Linked DNA regions of Oryzias latipes. The protein of the gene in region 3 purifies or fractionates together with the protein of the main gene of each other region. This does not show direct contact. Links are inferred from orthologs where the notes say so. Each region holds a gene or a part of one and is shown on either strand. Other genes may lie near its edges.

What was found.
Region 1: the proteins of dcp1b (region 3) and edc4 purify together in Homo sapiens (affinity purification with mass spectrometry; 3 studies listed by BioGRID and IntAct, with this or other methods). This does not show direct contact. The link is inferred for Oryzias latipes from reciprocal best matches to the Homo sapiens genes DCP1B and EDC4.
Region 2: the proteins of dcp1b (region 3) and bag4 purify together in Homo sapiens (affinity purification with mass spectrometry; 3 studies listed by BioGRID and IntAct, counting the BioPlex papers as one, with this or other methods). This does not show direct contact. The link is inferred for Oryzias latipes from reciprocal best matches to the Homo sapiens genes DCP1B and BAG4.

The regions. Positions count from the first base shown.
Region 1 is NC_019864.2:24,347,172-24,351,482, reverse strand, and holds the start of edc4 (enhancer of mRNA-decapping protein 4), read right to left. Parts: upstream 2,813-4,311; 5' UTR 2,670-2,812; coding exon 2,582-2,669; intron 1-2,581. UniProt on the Homo sapiens protein: In the process of mRNA degradation, seems to play a role in mRNA decapping. Component of a complex containing DCP2 and DCP1A which functions in decapping of ARE-containing mRNAs. Promotes complex formation between DCP1A and DCP2.
Region 2 is NC_019867.2:18,633,724-18,637,733, forward strand, and holds the start of bag4 (BAG family molecular chaperone regulator 4), read right to left. Parts: upstream 2,804-4,010; 5' UTR 2,632-2,803; coding exon 2,542-2,631; intron 2,004-2,541; coding exon 1,884-2,003; intron 1,684-1,883; coding exon 1,468-1,683; intron 972-1,467; coding exon 702-971; intron 610-701; coding exon 148-609; 3' UTR 1-147. Other genes in the region: U6 snRNA-associated Sm-like protein LSm1, read left to right, coding at 3,352-3,397, 3,508-3,576, 3,707-3,822. UniProt on the Homo sapiens protein: Inhibits the chaperone activity of HSP70/HSC70 by promoting substrate release. Prevents constitutive TNFRSF1A signaling. Negative regulator of PRKN translocation to damaged mitochondria.
Region 3 is NC_019881.2:14,488,771-14,492,834, forward strand, and holds the start of dcp1b (mRNA-decapping enzyme 1B), read right to left. Parts: upstream 2,815-4,064; 5' UTR 2,536-2,814; coding exon 2,377-2,535; intron 2,018-2,376; coding exon 1,977-2,017; intron 1,796-1,976; coding exon 1,668-1,795; intron 1-1,667. UniProt on the Homo sapiens protein: May play a role in the degradation of mRNAs, both in normal mRNA turnover and in nonsense-mediated mRNA decay. May remove the 7-methyl guanine cap structure from mRNA molecules, yielding a 5'-phosphorylated mRNA fragment and 7m-GDP.

The DNA.
Region 1 (4,311 bases), on a different chromosome or scaffold from region 3:
AAATGTATAAAGGGGCATGATGCACCTGGAGGTTGATTATCAGTTTATTATGACCCATAATTCATGAAAAATAAACAAATCAGAACATCAATGACATCGACTCATGCAGTATTTATGACAGCTGAAAGCAGAACTCGGTTCTCATCTCTGCCAGTGAAGTGTCTGCATTTAACACAAACAAAGAGGATTGTTATCTTACAAATCTGTTGTTTGTTGATCTTACAAGTGTAAAATAAGATCAAGCCATCATAACTATGGAATAAAGTTTGAGAATTGCAGACATTGTCAGAAAGATTATTATTGGAGAGAAATCAGAATAGCTTTTTTAACAAGAAAAACAAACAAAATCACACTATTTCAAATTAGATGAATAGATTTTTTGAAATGCAATACTGTTTTAGCATAATGAGTCCCTATTTTTATTTATTCCTCGCAGCCAGTTTCCTCAGTTTCTGCCGTGTCCTTTTGCTCAAAAGGTTCTTCTAGCATAAAAAACCCTCATCAAACTCAACAGTAGCTTGAAAAACTAGATACAGATTTCTTGCTCTGAATACATTTTTTCTGATGAAATCTGTTGATTTTTACTTTCCTAAAAATATAAAGGACAGCTGCCAAAAAAATGAACTGGCTTTATATTTATTTATTTTTAAATAATGAAACTAAAATAACGCAGGTTAAAACATGCAGTACTTTTTCCCCTCTTGCTGAATTTATTTAAGATCTTGATTTTTTTTGTTTTCATATTTGGTGGCATCTTTAGTTTAAATGTGTAGGATAAAATTGTTTTGAACGGATAAAATAACTACTAAAAGTGTTTAAAACAGAAAATCTGTATTTAATGTATTGTGGAGGCCATCTTTCCTCAACAGAAGGCGCTTTTCATTTGAGAGACAGCAAATAGAACTGCATTTGGACTCTTACTACACCGCTTTTATAACAGCCAGCAGTTTAATTATATTTATACCCATTTATCACTTTGAGCAGATGAGTGTTTTAACCTGTAAAGCCTTTTAAATCTTAAAGATTAAATTATTTATTTCAGTTTAATAATATAACTTAATTTGACACAAATATTGTTCATCTGTTTATTATGAAAAGGATAGACTGCTATGGTAATTGGGTTACTTCAAAACATTTTTAGTTAACTGAAAAGAACAAACAGTATGATACTGACTTTAAACTGACCATCAATTACATTACATGGAGGAATCATTTCAGGGGTTACGTGGACGCTTTCCATTTTCTAATATTTTCATCTCATGAAAATCATTTTATTTATACTGTATTAATAAACGTGTACAAAGCAGTACAAAAAAAATGAAAAAAAGATAACCCAAAAGTAAGTTTAAAATAAATGCAAACCCATTTGATTCTTCTATTCAGTTTGATTTAAAGCAAACCTTAAACGAACAAAAACCAATAATTTACTCTAAAAGGAAATTCAGTCCAGAATGAGTCGATATAAGTCATTTGATTTAATTAACTATAATAACGTATTTTGACCAAATGAAGCTTATTCTTTTACACTTGCAATTTTCTTGTAGCTGGACCACAAAAGACAAACAACACAGCAAATCCATTTTCTTAGTCCAGTGATAATCAAGTCAATTTTTTAAAAAGTATTTACGTGTCCAAATCAAACCAGATCATCCCAAAATAAAAGTTTGATTTATTTTGAGATCATTTGATATGTTTAAACAAAAAAATACACATTATTCCCCGTGCAAGCAGGCACGTGTCAGAAATATTTGGTATTTGATATTAAGAAAAAAACTTCAAGACAATTGAAAAACTTAAAAATGACCAAGAACTGTAAAAAAAAAAAAAAAAAAAAAAAATAACAAACATAGAAATATGTTCAAAATTCTCTCAGCATTAACAACTTAATGCTTCGATCTGCAATCATCAAGGCCACGAAAATACACATTTCTAAAAACCATCCATATACACGTTTAGCCCTAGAATCGCACTTGAAAATTTTCCTCCTTAAAAACAAAGCATTTGTTGTGTGCTTCCCGAAAACATACCAGACATACAAGCGTGATACAATTATATGGGACTGTTAATTTTCTGGGTGATTGGTGTACTTTGGGGTAACATAAAAAATGCTGTGACAAATATTTCGCACGATAATTATATTTGAAGTCCTGGCTGCTTACCTGTAGTGTTTACTGCTTATTTTTAGACTTCGTATATCATGTAAAATGGGAAAACCTTCCAAATATGGTGACTCGATTTAAGAACTAATATAGAGCTTGAAGTTAGTTCCTGTATCACTTTATCTGCTTTTCTATAGTTTTTCCATAGATGGAATGAGCCTTAAGCTAACCGAGCTATGTCGGTGAGGTCGAAGCAGTCGCAGCGCCACAAACAAACTACTCAAACACGACAAGTGTGAGTGGAAACTCTTCGACGTTTAAACTGTCTTCTATAGTTTGCCTTTTTCCTACAAATGTGTATAAAATCTATCAGGGGACGTTTTCACGCCGAAACGGGTGTTACTAATGTAGCAAGCTAGCAGCCTGCTAGCTTAGCGGCCTAACTGGCAGCGCAGCGACTTTTCGTTCCCGGTGCGACTTACCGGCGCCGTTTCCCGAACGGTCGAGCTTGAGGATATCCCGGAGGTGCTGGGTCGCACCCTCGATGTCTATATTAGAGCTGGACGACATGGGCGAGGGAAAGGGGAAGACTGGGTAAATTGAAGGGGAGAATTTTAAATTTTCGTCTACAGCGAAGCTGTCCCTTCACCCACAGCAACCGTCTAAACTTCCGTTTGGTCCTCTCCGTAGATGTTCCGACTGGTTACAGGGTCAAGTCAATGCTTCCTGGTTCCTACTTTCAAATTTACAGGCTTCTTCGTGCTTTCCACAACTAAGCAAACTAAAGGAAAACGGACTTTAACTCTCATATAAGATCATTGCCCCCCCCCCTCCCAAAAAAAAGAACAGATTATTTTATCCACATCATAAATGTATTTCTACAAACCACATTATACTGTGCAGTTGAGATAAAACAGACCACTCAAGCTGGCACTGTCTGCCTGATTTGCTCCTTTAGGAAGTGCATAAATATTATATCAAATGTGGCAGATTTTTATTTTGGTGCTGTCTTACAATGACCACAATTGAACACGATGACCTACAATTAAAAGCTCAAACATGATCACAAATAAAACAATAGCAATTAAGACATTAATGCATACTAATGAATGAAATGTGAAAATAAGCATTTATATTCACTCCTTAATGTGATTTTTTAATTTTATTTTTTAAGAAAAAGTTGAGATTATGATTAATATATTCATATTTTTTAATAATAATTAGTTATTAATTAGTGGGCTGCACAGTGGAGCAGTGGTTAGCGCTCTTGCCTCCCAGCAAGAAGGCCCCTGGTTCAAGTCTCAGCTGGGGATACTGAAACAGAACATCAATGGGGGGGGGTCTTTCTGTGGAGTTTGCATGTTCTCTCCAGCTTCCTCCCACTGTCCAAAAACATGCTTCATAGGTTAATTGGTTAGTCTAAATTGCCCCTAGGTGTGAATGTGAGAGTGCATTGGTGCATGGGTGTGTGATTGTGGCCCTGCCACAGACTGGCAAACTGTCCAGGGTGTCGCTTTTGCCCACAAATGGCTGGGACAGGCTCCAGCAGCCCTGTGACCCTGGAAAACAGATTAGAAGATGAATGAATGAACAGTTATTAATACAATGTTTAATAAGAAAAAAATATTTGTATAAAAGGAAAATGAACCTTAAGCTCTGAAACCTGAGAAATTTGGGGGGGAAAAGTACCAGTCGAGAGGGGGGTGATGTGTTCAATGTTGCATTGCTGACAGAGAAAGAAAGTAAATAAATTCCTCTTCAATTTTCTTTTCTTTTTTTGAGTCTTGTGCCCTAAAGGAAAATATATTGGTCTGTTTGTTTGTAATAATACATATTAACACATGCAACAACACTTCTACAACCCATCTTCACTTTTTAATGAATTGGAATAAAAATGATTTTATTAACATTTACAACCACTTTACTACAAAAGATAAGAAACTTTGTATTTTTCTTTTTGAAAATTACAAAGTGAAAGCCCTTTTCACTTTTTTTCACGAATCAAAATAGTTTTACCACTTCAAATCATTTAAAGATACAATCGCATAATCTTTGAAATTGGAACAAAATGTCAATTTTTTCCACAATACTGTATCTTTTAAATTTTTTCTTTTTGCTATATTAAACAAAATACATTAATTTGGTGTTACAGTGCTAATTGTTTGGTTGAAGAATCTAAGAAAAAAGTGACTGAAATTAGGAATCGTTAAAT
Region 2 (4,010 bases), on a different chromosome or scaffold from region 3:
CCTTCGGTCTGTAATTTCTTCATATAATGTTTTTAAGGTAGAAAAAAGAACATTGTTATAGTTCTGCAGAGCAGGACTTTTGTCAAGGAAGATCTTAGAGAACATAAGAAAACTTGGTGGTCCACAAGCAAGTTAATTGAGCCCGCTTCAGAAGGCTTTCTTCTCTAGTTGGTCAAGTATGGCCTGAATTCTCTGCACGGCTTCTTTCCGTGCTTGTCGAACATTGTCCTGTCCCTGAGTCTCCACGGAGTCCAGCTCTAACAGCTCTTTGGTCAGAAGTTCCTCAAGACAGCGGTAGCTCTTGTCTGTCTTTTTGCCTACAAACTCGTCAACATCTTCCTGAAGTAGCTGAACTCTGGTCATCACATGCTGAACCTTGGCAAGGCCTGGATTATCACTCAAGGGCAGCTGTCTGGTCTGACCTGCGGGCGGTGCAGGAGCTTGGGTTGGGGCTGATGGGGGGGGCTCAGCCTGTGAGGTGTTAGTATCACCTCTCCCTGTTTTGTTGTAGATTTGTGGAGGAGAAGTTATTTCAGCAGGCTTTCCATTAGGGGGTGGTGTTGGCCTGGGTTTAGGCCCCACCTGCAGAGGGCGTTGGTGATGCTGATCCTGAAACAACACAAGATAGACATATTTGCTTTTATCTCCTTACGGACTCTTGAATAATTGTTACACAATGCACGTCAGCTGCAGAGCCTTACTTTGGGCTGATAGGGTGGTGGGGCACCAGTCCCGGTTCCTGGCCACGCTGGAGGATGAGGTGGACGGACGGGATTCCCGTAATGATTTTGGGGAGGTTGCTGACCTCCCTGCCACTGTTGCTGTGAGTGGGCATACTGGCTGGGGTGTCCCCATGCTTCAGCCTGGGAATTAGGATGAAGAGCCTGGCCGGTTGGGTAAGGAGAATTCGAGTGAATTGCATGTCCACCTTCACTGTAGTGTGGGTATGATCCAGGAGGATATCCAGGACCCTGAGAGCACAAACAAGACAAACATGTTTATTCTCAAAAATGTAACATTACAAGAAATGGATGTCTCATTTTGGTGCTTTCTAAACACATTTGGGCTGCTCGATATAAGGAAAACTTGTGATATGCGATATTGATGATCAATATTGCGATGACGATATAACTTGCGGTGATACGTGAACACACCAAAACAACCAAAAACATCATTTCCATTTCACTGCAACGGTTTAAATTTTTTTTTTTAAAGTAAACCCTCGTCTAGCATAAAAGGGCACCATCCGATTGGTCAACAATGTGAAGGCGTCCATCCGATTGGTCAAATGCATAAAATGATTTGTTTGATTCCTTAAATACGTCAAGCTTCCATAAGATTGTTTTAGCAAACTCATATAAATAATAATAAGTAAAAAGACTGAAATATTAAACCAAGAACCTTTTGCTTCTATTTAAGTATTTTGTAAGTAATGTGAGTGTCTCATTAATGCGTAAATAAACTCACCCCTTGACAGTGTGGACCAGTGTAATGATGATGCTGAGCGTGAGGCGGCTCGCTGCTTTGATCTGCCGGACAGCCTTGGTGCGGATAGGAACTTGGACTTGCTCTCCTTGGATCAGCACAGTAGAAGGGGTTGGATGGGTGGAAGCTACTTGCCGGGTACGGACTCTGTGCATGGTTGTACGCTCCATGGCCGTTCGGATATCCTCCTGGCATTACCTAAAAATAAAAAATAAGTAAAAAAAGAAAAACAGGGACAAGCCTGAGAGGAAATTGACCACTCTGTGAAAACAGCACTTTTGATACCACAACTATGAGTGTTTGTGCAAAAGAAAGATGAGGAAATTGATGAGAATCAAAACAGTGAGCAATATATTAAAATGTTGAAGGAAAGGAATGGCTCGTATAGTGAGATGTACCTGTGGATTGTACTGCGGATGCAGATCTGACGCTGAAGGATAGGCATTTGCGTAGGGCCCTGTGGAGTGGGACTGCGGATACCAGTATTGTGGAGGGTAACTTGGATACTGAGGAGCATCCTGTAAAAGGCAAGTTGACACGAGACAGCGACTCACTTTATGTGATCCAACCCATTTTGTGTAGCTATCCTAAATCTCAAATAGAGATATGGAGAACTTGATGCTGAGAAACTTAAATGATAAACGCATTGATAAACATATACTCGTGTCTTTCTAGAAAACTAAATAAATGGATGTTAACTTGTGTTTAAATGAATGAAATAATTTGAGCTAAACCAATGATTAACTCATGAAACTCTATATGATCGCTACGATCTCCTAACGTGCAGAAGTGTTGTGTTAAATCGATATTTTCGAGTCAATGTAATTTAAAAACAAGGACTTAACTAATAAGCTAGCAGTAACTATTACATAATGCCCGCTAGCTATATTAGCTATGAAGCTAGCATGATGAACATTGCGAAGAACTTCTGCACGAACGAACAAACGGATTTTATTGTTGGGAGATTTTAAATTAATCTTTGTTTCTTTAAAGCACAATATGATCTGTCACCCCCTCCCCCCAGTAAAGTTTTTTTTAATTAATCTGCTCGCTTACCATAGTGTTACTGCAGCTTCCGTGACTATTTCCCGAGTTAGTAGAGGGCCAGCCAGTTTTCCCGTTTGGCTGCATTTGGGGTTTCTGCATCAGTTACACGTATTTTGCCATCTTCCAAAATAAGCAAGACTATCACTAGTTTACGGTTCCGCTAGAAATCTGACAGCTGATCAAAGCAGCAGCTTCCCCGCAGAAGTCAGGATCGCCTGATTGCAACCAAGAAATGAATAAATGACGCGGAACTCTGGAGACATGGTACTGCGTCTTTAAGTCGAGTAGAACCATTACAAGTAAAGAGGAGTCACTCTCTAAAACTTTCTGATCGAAATTGCTGGATGAAACCTTACAATTGCAAAACGCAGAAACGGGGAACACAATTAGAATATTTTTAATTAAAGATATTTATTTTCAATATATTTTACTGCTAAGACCAACTATTGAATTACTCCTGTAGCAGTTGTATTTTTTAAACATGTGACGCAACTTTTCAAAATTTTCATTTACGATCTTTGATGTGGCACATGCGTTGGAAGGGTTACCATCCATCATCAAATGGGGACATTTAATCCAAACATGTTTTATAGAAAATTCTTTTTGTATCATAAAATGTATGATACTTTTGTTTAAATCATTTTTACACAGTTATTTTTAGAAAATTCGAGCTATGCGCAATTACGGTGCGGAAGGGGTTAAATGTTTACAGGAAGTGTATAAAAGCACTTCCTGTGCACCGTCAAATAGAAACGGGTAAAAACATTCATGGCTTGATGGTTCAGAAATCAACTAAACGCGTGAAAACTGCAACTAAACATGAATTACGTACCAGGGACGGCCAGTCTCATTGACGATATTGACAGTAAGTTGGGCCTTATAGAAATTGCTTTTTTTAATCATAAACAAACGACACAATGTATTAGCGTGTGCCGTGTGGACGCAGATTTTTTTTAAATGTTTTTAATTTCGCAGAAAAGCACTTGGTCCTGCTGCGAGATGGCAGAACACTAATCGGTTACCTGAGAAGCATCGATCAGTTTGGTAATAAAAAATGAGAATCTTCTAAACTCTTCCATGCGGGTTTATTTTTTTATTTTTATATGATTACGCGGTGTTTCAATAGTCCTAAATTTGTTTGTTTCTTTCTTTTTTTTTTTTTTTTGTTCCACAGCCAATTTAGTCTTTCATCAGACGGTGGAGCGTATCCACGTGGGAAAGAAATTTGGAGATATTCCCAGAGGTATCTTCATCGTCAGGGGAGAAAATGTAGTCCTGCTTGGGGAAATAGTAAGTGTTTTAGAGCAATTTTTTAGTTTGTTCTAAACTTGAATGTAATTTCTGGATCAAGTTTTATTTACGTGAACTTGTTCTCAGATGCTCCGTACAGCACCAAACATCAAACTCTGAATGTGGTCAAGCATCCAGGTCTCGCACTGCAGAAAATGATGTGACTCTTATTTAAAGATCAAGTTAAA
Region 3 (4,064 bases):
TGTTCTGTGACCTATCCACGCAGTTCATTTTTAGCCCGGGCTGCCACTTTGTGCCAACCACCGTTCCAGGAAGTTGCGGCAGCACTTAGGCCGACATGTTTATCTAATGATAAGATTCCACGACCCCTCCACCAAGAGGTCACAATGCACTGGCACACTAATGCCAGCAAGCTATAAATCACATTTTCTCCAATAAAACCACGTTTTCTGTCTACTAAAAGTGTTCTTTCGTTATGTCATCTATGTAGAAATTTGGTAAACATTAGTTTGAGCAGCTATTATAGGGTAGGGGGTATTACTTTTGATGGGTCTCACTTGATCTTTCTTTTTATCCTCTTATGTACATTAGCTTATGGCCGCTCTGTAAATTTGGTTCTACAGTGTCACATCTACAAACGCAAAGAGTCTCTTTGAAGCCAAACAGTTCCTCTAAATCCTAGGAGACACACTGATAAAAATCAGTCTGATAACAACCATTACTCATGTCTACTTTTGAGCTCTTTTATTATTCATCTTAAACCAGAGCAATCAGAGCAAACTAACATTATGCTTGACCATAACGTTTGCTTTGAACCCACCATTCATTTACTTACATAAACCAATCTAATCTGTTCATTGTAACAGCAGACACACTAATCAGCTGTAACCTGATTACTGGTTTCAAGTGTTTTTACGCTTCGTGCTTCCCACAAGCGAGTCGGTTCAAATCTGTTCCTTGTTGCAGATGCTCCTACCGCAAACCGGCTATTTTGTGTTTGTTAGCTTCTGAATAGAAAGTCTAAATATTGTGCTTTCTGTTTCACCATGTTCCAAGTAAATGTAAAATAACAAAAATGAATAAACCAAACAATTTCTTTCAGTACAAAGATCCGGCTGCATGTCATTGTATATGACGGGGAGGCCAAGACGACAGGAGCCTTCTCTGTGCTCGTCAGCTACTTCTAAGCTAGCGTGTGTTTAGATTATCAGTGACTGTGGAAGTGTATCTAATCTCAGCTGGCTGCTTTTGTGGTGCTGTCAGACTCTTGTCCCACAGGCACACTTTAGAATGTGATTGTGTGTGAGAGCGCCCGATGCAGGTCTCAGAGAGTTGGTGATAAAACAAACTGAAATAACTCTGCTGAAACACCTTAAATGGAGTCACCGATTCATCCACCAGTCACTAACGTGGTCCTTCCTATCTTATTTGATGTCAAAATAATGTTTTAGTCATAAAAATACGGCTGCGTTTGACGCAACAACATTTTTTTTGAAGATATGTCATTCTTTTAGCATTTCTAATACCCTGCACTTTTGTGTGCTATTCAAAAGAAATAAACATAGTAATTATGGCTTAGTAAAACATTTTAGGTCCATAAAAAAAACCCATAAAAATCTAACTATGATCTTTGGTTATGTGGGCCCGAACTGACCTATGCTAAGAAAATAAATATACTGAAACACATGTAAACAACCATTAATTAATTGCTATTATTATTCATATATTAGGATTTTAATAATATGCATCTGTTTATGCAATAAACTCCAGAGGAAGAGGGTCACAGCAATAACTAAAATATGTAATGCAGCAGCTTGCATTGTATTTAAGACTGTCATGCACAGCAAACGCTGAAAGAATAGGACAGAAACTGGAAATCTGTGGGCTATTTTTATATATTCTGACTTACATCGTGCGTTGCGATAAAGCAGGAAAGGGTCCTGAAGCTGAAAGTCCAAGTCTTTTGTGATCGGCTCTGTCAGATTGTCCATGCTGAGACGGTTCATAATGGTAAATCCGTGTCTTGGAGATGCCAATCTGAATTAAAACAGCATGCAAAATGACAAAAATAATAACTATCAAAACTCAGGAAAAAACAAGGTATTACACACAGTGGTACATTATCTCCCTAATTGATATTAAAATAAAAATAAAATAATTGAATGCAATGGATGACCTCAAATAAACCCTAATCACAGACTTTAGGTCTTTTCTTTACCTTGTGTAAATAAAAAGAGTGCCTTCAACTTCCGTCTTCTCCTGAAAAGTAACAACAATCACGTCAAAAAAAGTGGGGGACAAATGTGTATTTTAATTCTGTTTTTTATTAAACATCCTAGGTTGCTACTTTGTAAACAAAGCTAAATAAAGCAGTACAAAGTATGAGGATGGAAATTGTACCAGTGTGCTTGAGTAAATTAGTGTGTAGTCTCGTGATGTGGTAAAACTCTATACTAGTAGTTAAAAAATGATCTATAACTTCAATTTTGTTTTTGTTTTCAAAAATCAACTTCAAAGCAATCACTTTTAACTTAACTCAGTAATACTAGAACGAAAACGCTGTAATTTGAAGCTAAGCTAAGTTAGCACAGAATAGCATTTGTCAGGAAAAAACGTACCCACTCATTTGTTCTGTTGTTATATGTATACAGAGCGACTTGGCTGGCCACATCGACAATATTATTTATATATGGGTCTTGTCGCTGCAGAGCAGCGAGACTTATGTCCAGTCCTTTCGCAGCATTACAGCCACTGCTACCTTCAGAGGTCGCTGTCATGGTTCTGGACAAGTTAGCAAGCTAAACAACTAGCTAAAGAAATAGCCTGGCTAAAATCGATTAAACTGAACCAACGAGAAGCGGGGGAAAAAAAATCCGTGCACGAGTAGAAATATGCAGAGCGATTCGTTTATAATGTTAATACATTTCAATGTAAGCGTTTCCTTGGCTACTGATTGCTCTCCGTCATAAGTAAGTTAAGTTAAACAACGGCCATGTTTGGAGGTTGTAAACAACGTAGGCATGAGTAGCAGCACAGCGTTAAAGATTCAGCCTTAACAATCGAGTTCGAAAAGTCGATCGATGAAATTATATAAACGGGAGAAGTTTTTGCCGCTCGGTTAAAATGGGGACTTTTAAAATAAAATTTTGTCTTGTAATACCTTTTAAAAAAATGTCACCATTTTAAAAGACTGTTTCAGCGTTTTCAAAACAGACTAACATACGATAGGCAAAAACTGTCCCTCCTGACAAAAATAACATTGTTTTATGTTTATGCACTGTGGGGGGGAAAAAACCGTCGCATAAAATCCACCCAGAGAAAGGAATACAAATTGGTGAGTTTCTAACTAGCCTGGTAGGTAAGCATCTTTTCTTTATTTTATTTTATTTTATTTATTTTTTACCTTTTTTTGCTCTTAGAAAGAAGCTTCCCCTTTAAAGTGGTGAATACTTGATTTCCATCTGTTTATCACCACCGGTGAGACTGTAATGCTGATTGATGGCGATTCTCATAAACATATTAAAATTGTCGGTGATTCAAAATAATTGTGTCAACTTCTGCAATTCCTAATACATCCAAAAGAGGGCGATAAAAGATTCCACATTTTCTTGATGACTTTTCTGGCCTTGTATGGTTATGGTGTCCAAATGCTATTCTGAAGTAAACACATTTACAAATGATATATTGTGTTGAATTGTTATTTGCATAACAGATCACACAAGCTTTCAATTGCATTAAAATATTGCTTTAAACTAATAAACTCTTGCAGGTATTTTAAATACAGATAGCATTTAAGCAATGAAAATGTATCAGGTATTTTTTTCATTTATAGTTTTTTTTTTTTTTTTAATGCACATAATAATAATACCCAGTTATCTATAGATGTGAAGTGTATGTAACAGTTAAACATTTACAGTAAATAAGTAGAGTAAACCTTGCATGGAGTGCTCATTTTGACCTTAACATCATGTTACAGTTTTAGTTTCTTTGCTTTTGAGTTTTGGTCCTCTTTTTTGTTCTGTCATGTTTTGAGTTCACTTCCTGTTTTGTTTTGTGGGGTTTCCTGTTTTGTGTTGTACTCGAGTTCTACTTTTGGTTCCCATCCGCCCTCATTGTTGTCACCTGTGTCTCGTTTGTCTGTATGTATTTAAGTCCTGTCTTTCCCTTCCTCCTGGGCTGGTCCATATTATGCTCTTCCCTATTCAAGTGTTTTCAGGTGTTTTCGAGTTTGCCTGCTTGCTGCAGTAGTATTGTTTTTTTTAGTTATTAAAGACCTTGTTCCTGGAACCTCCTGCCTCCCCCTTTC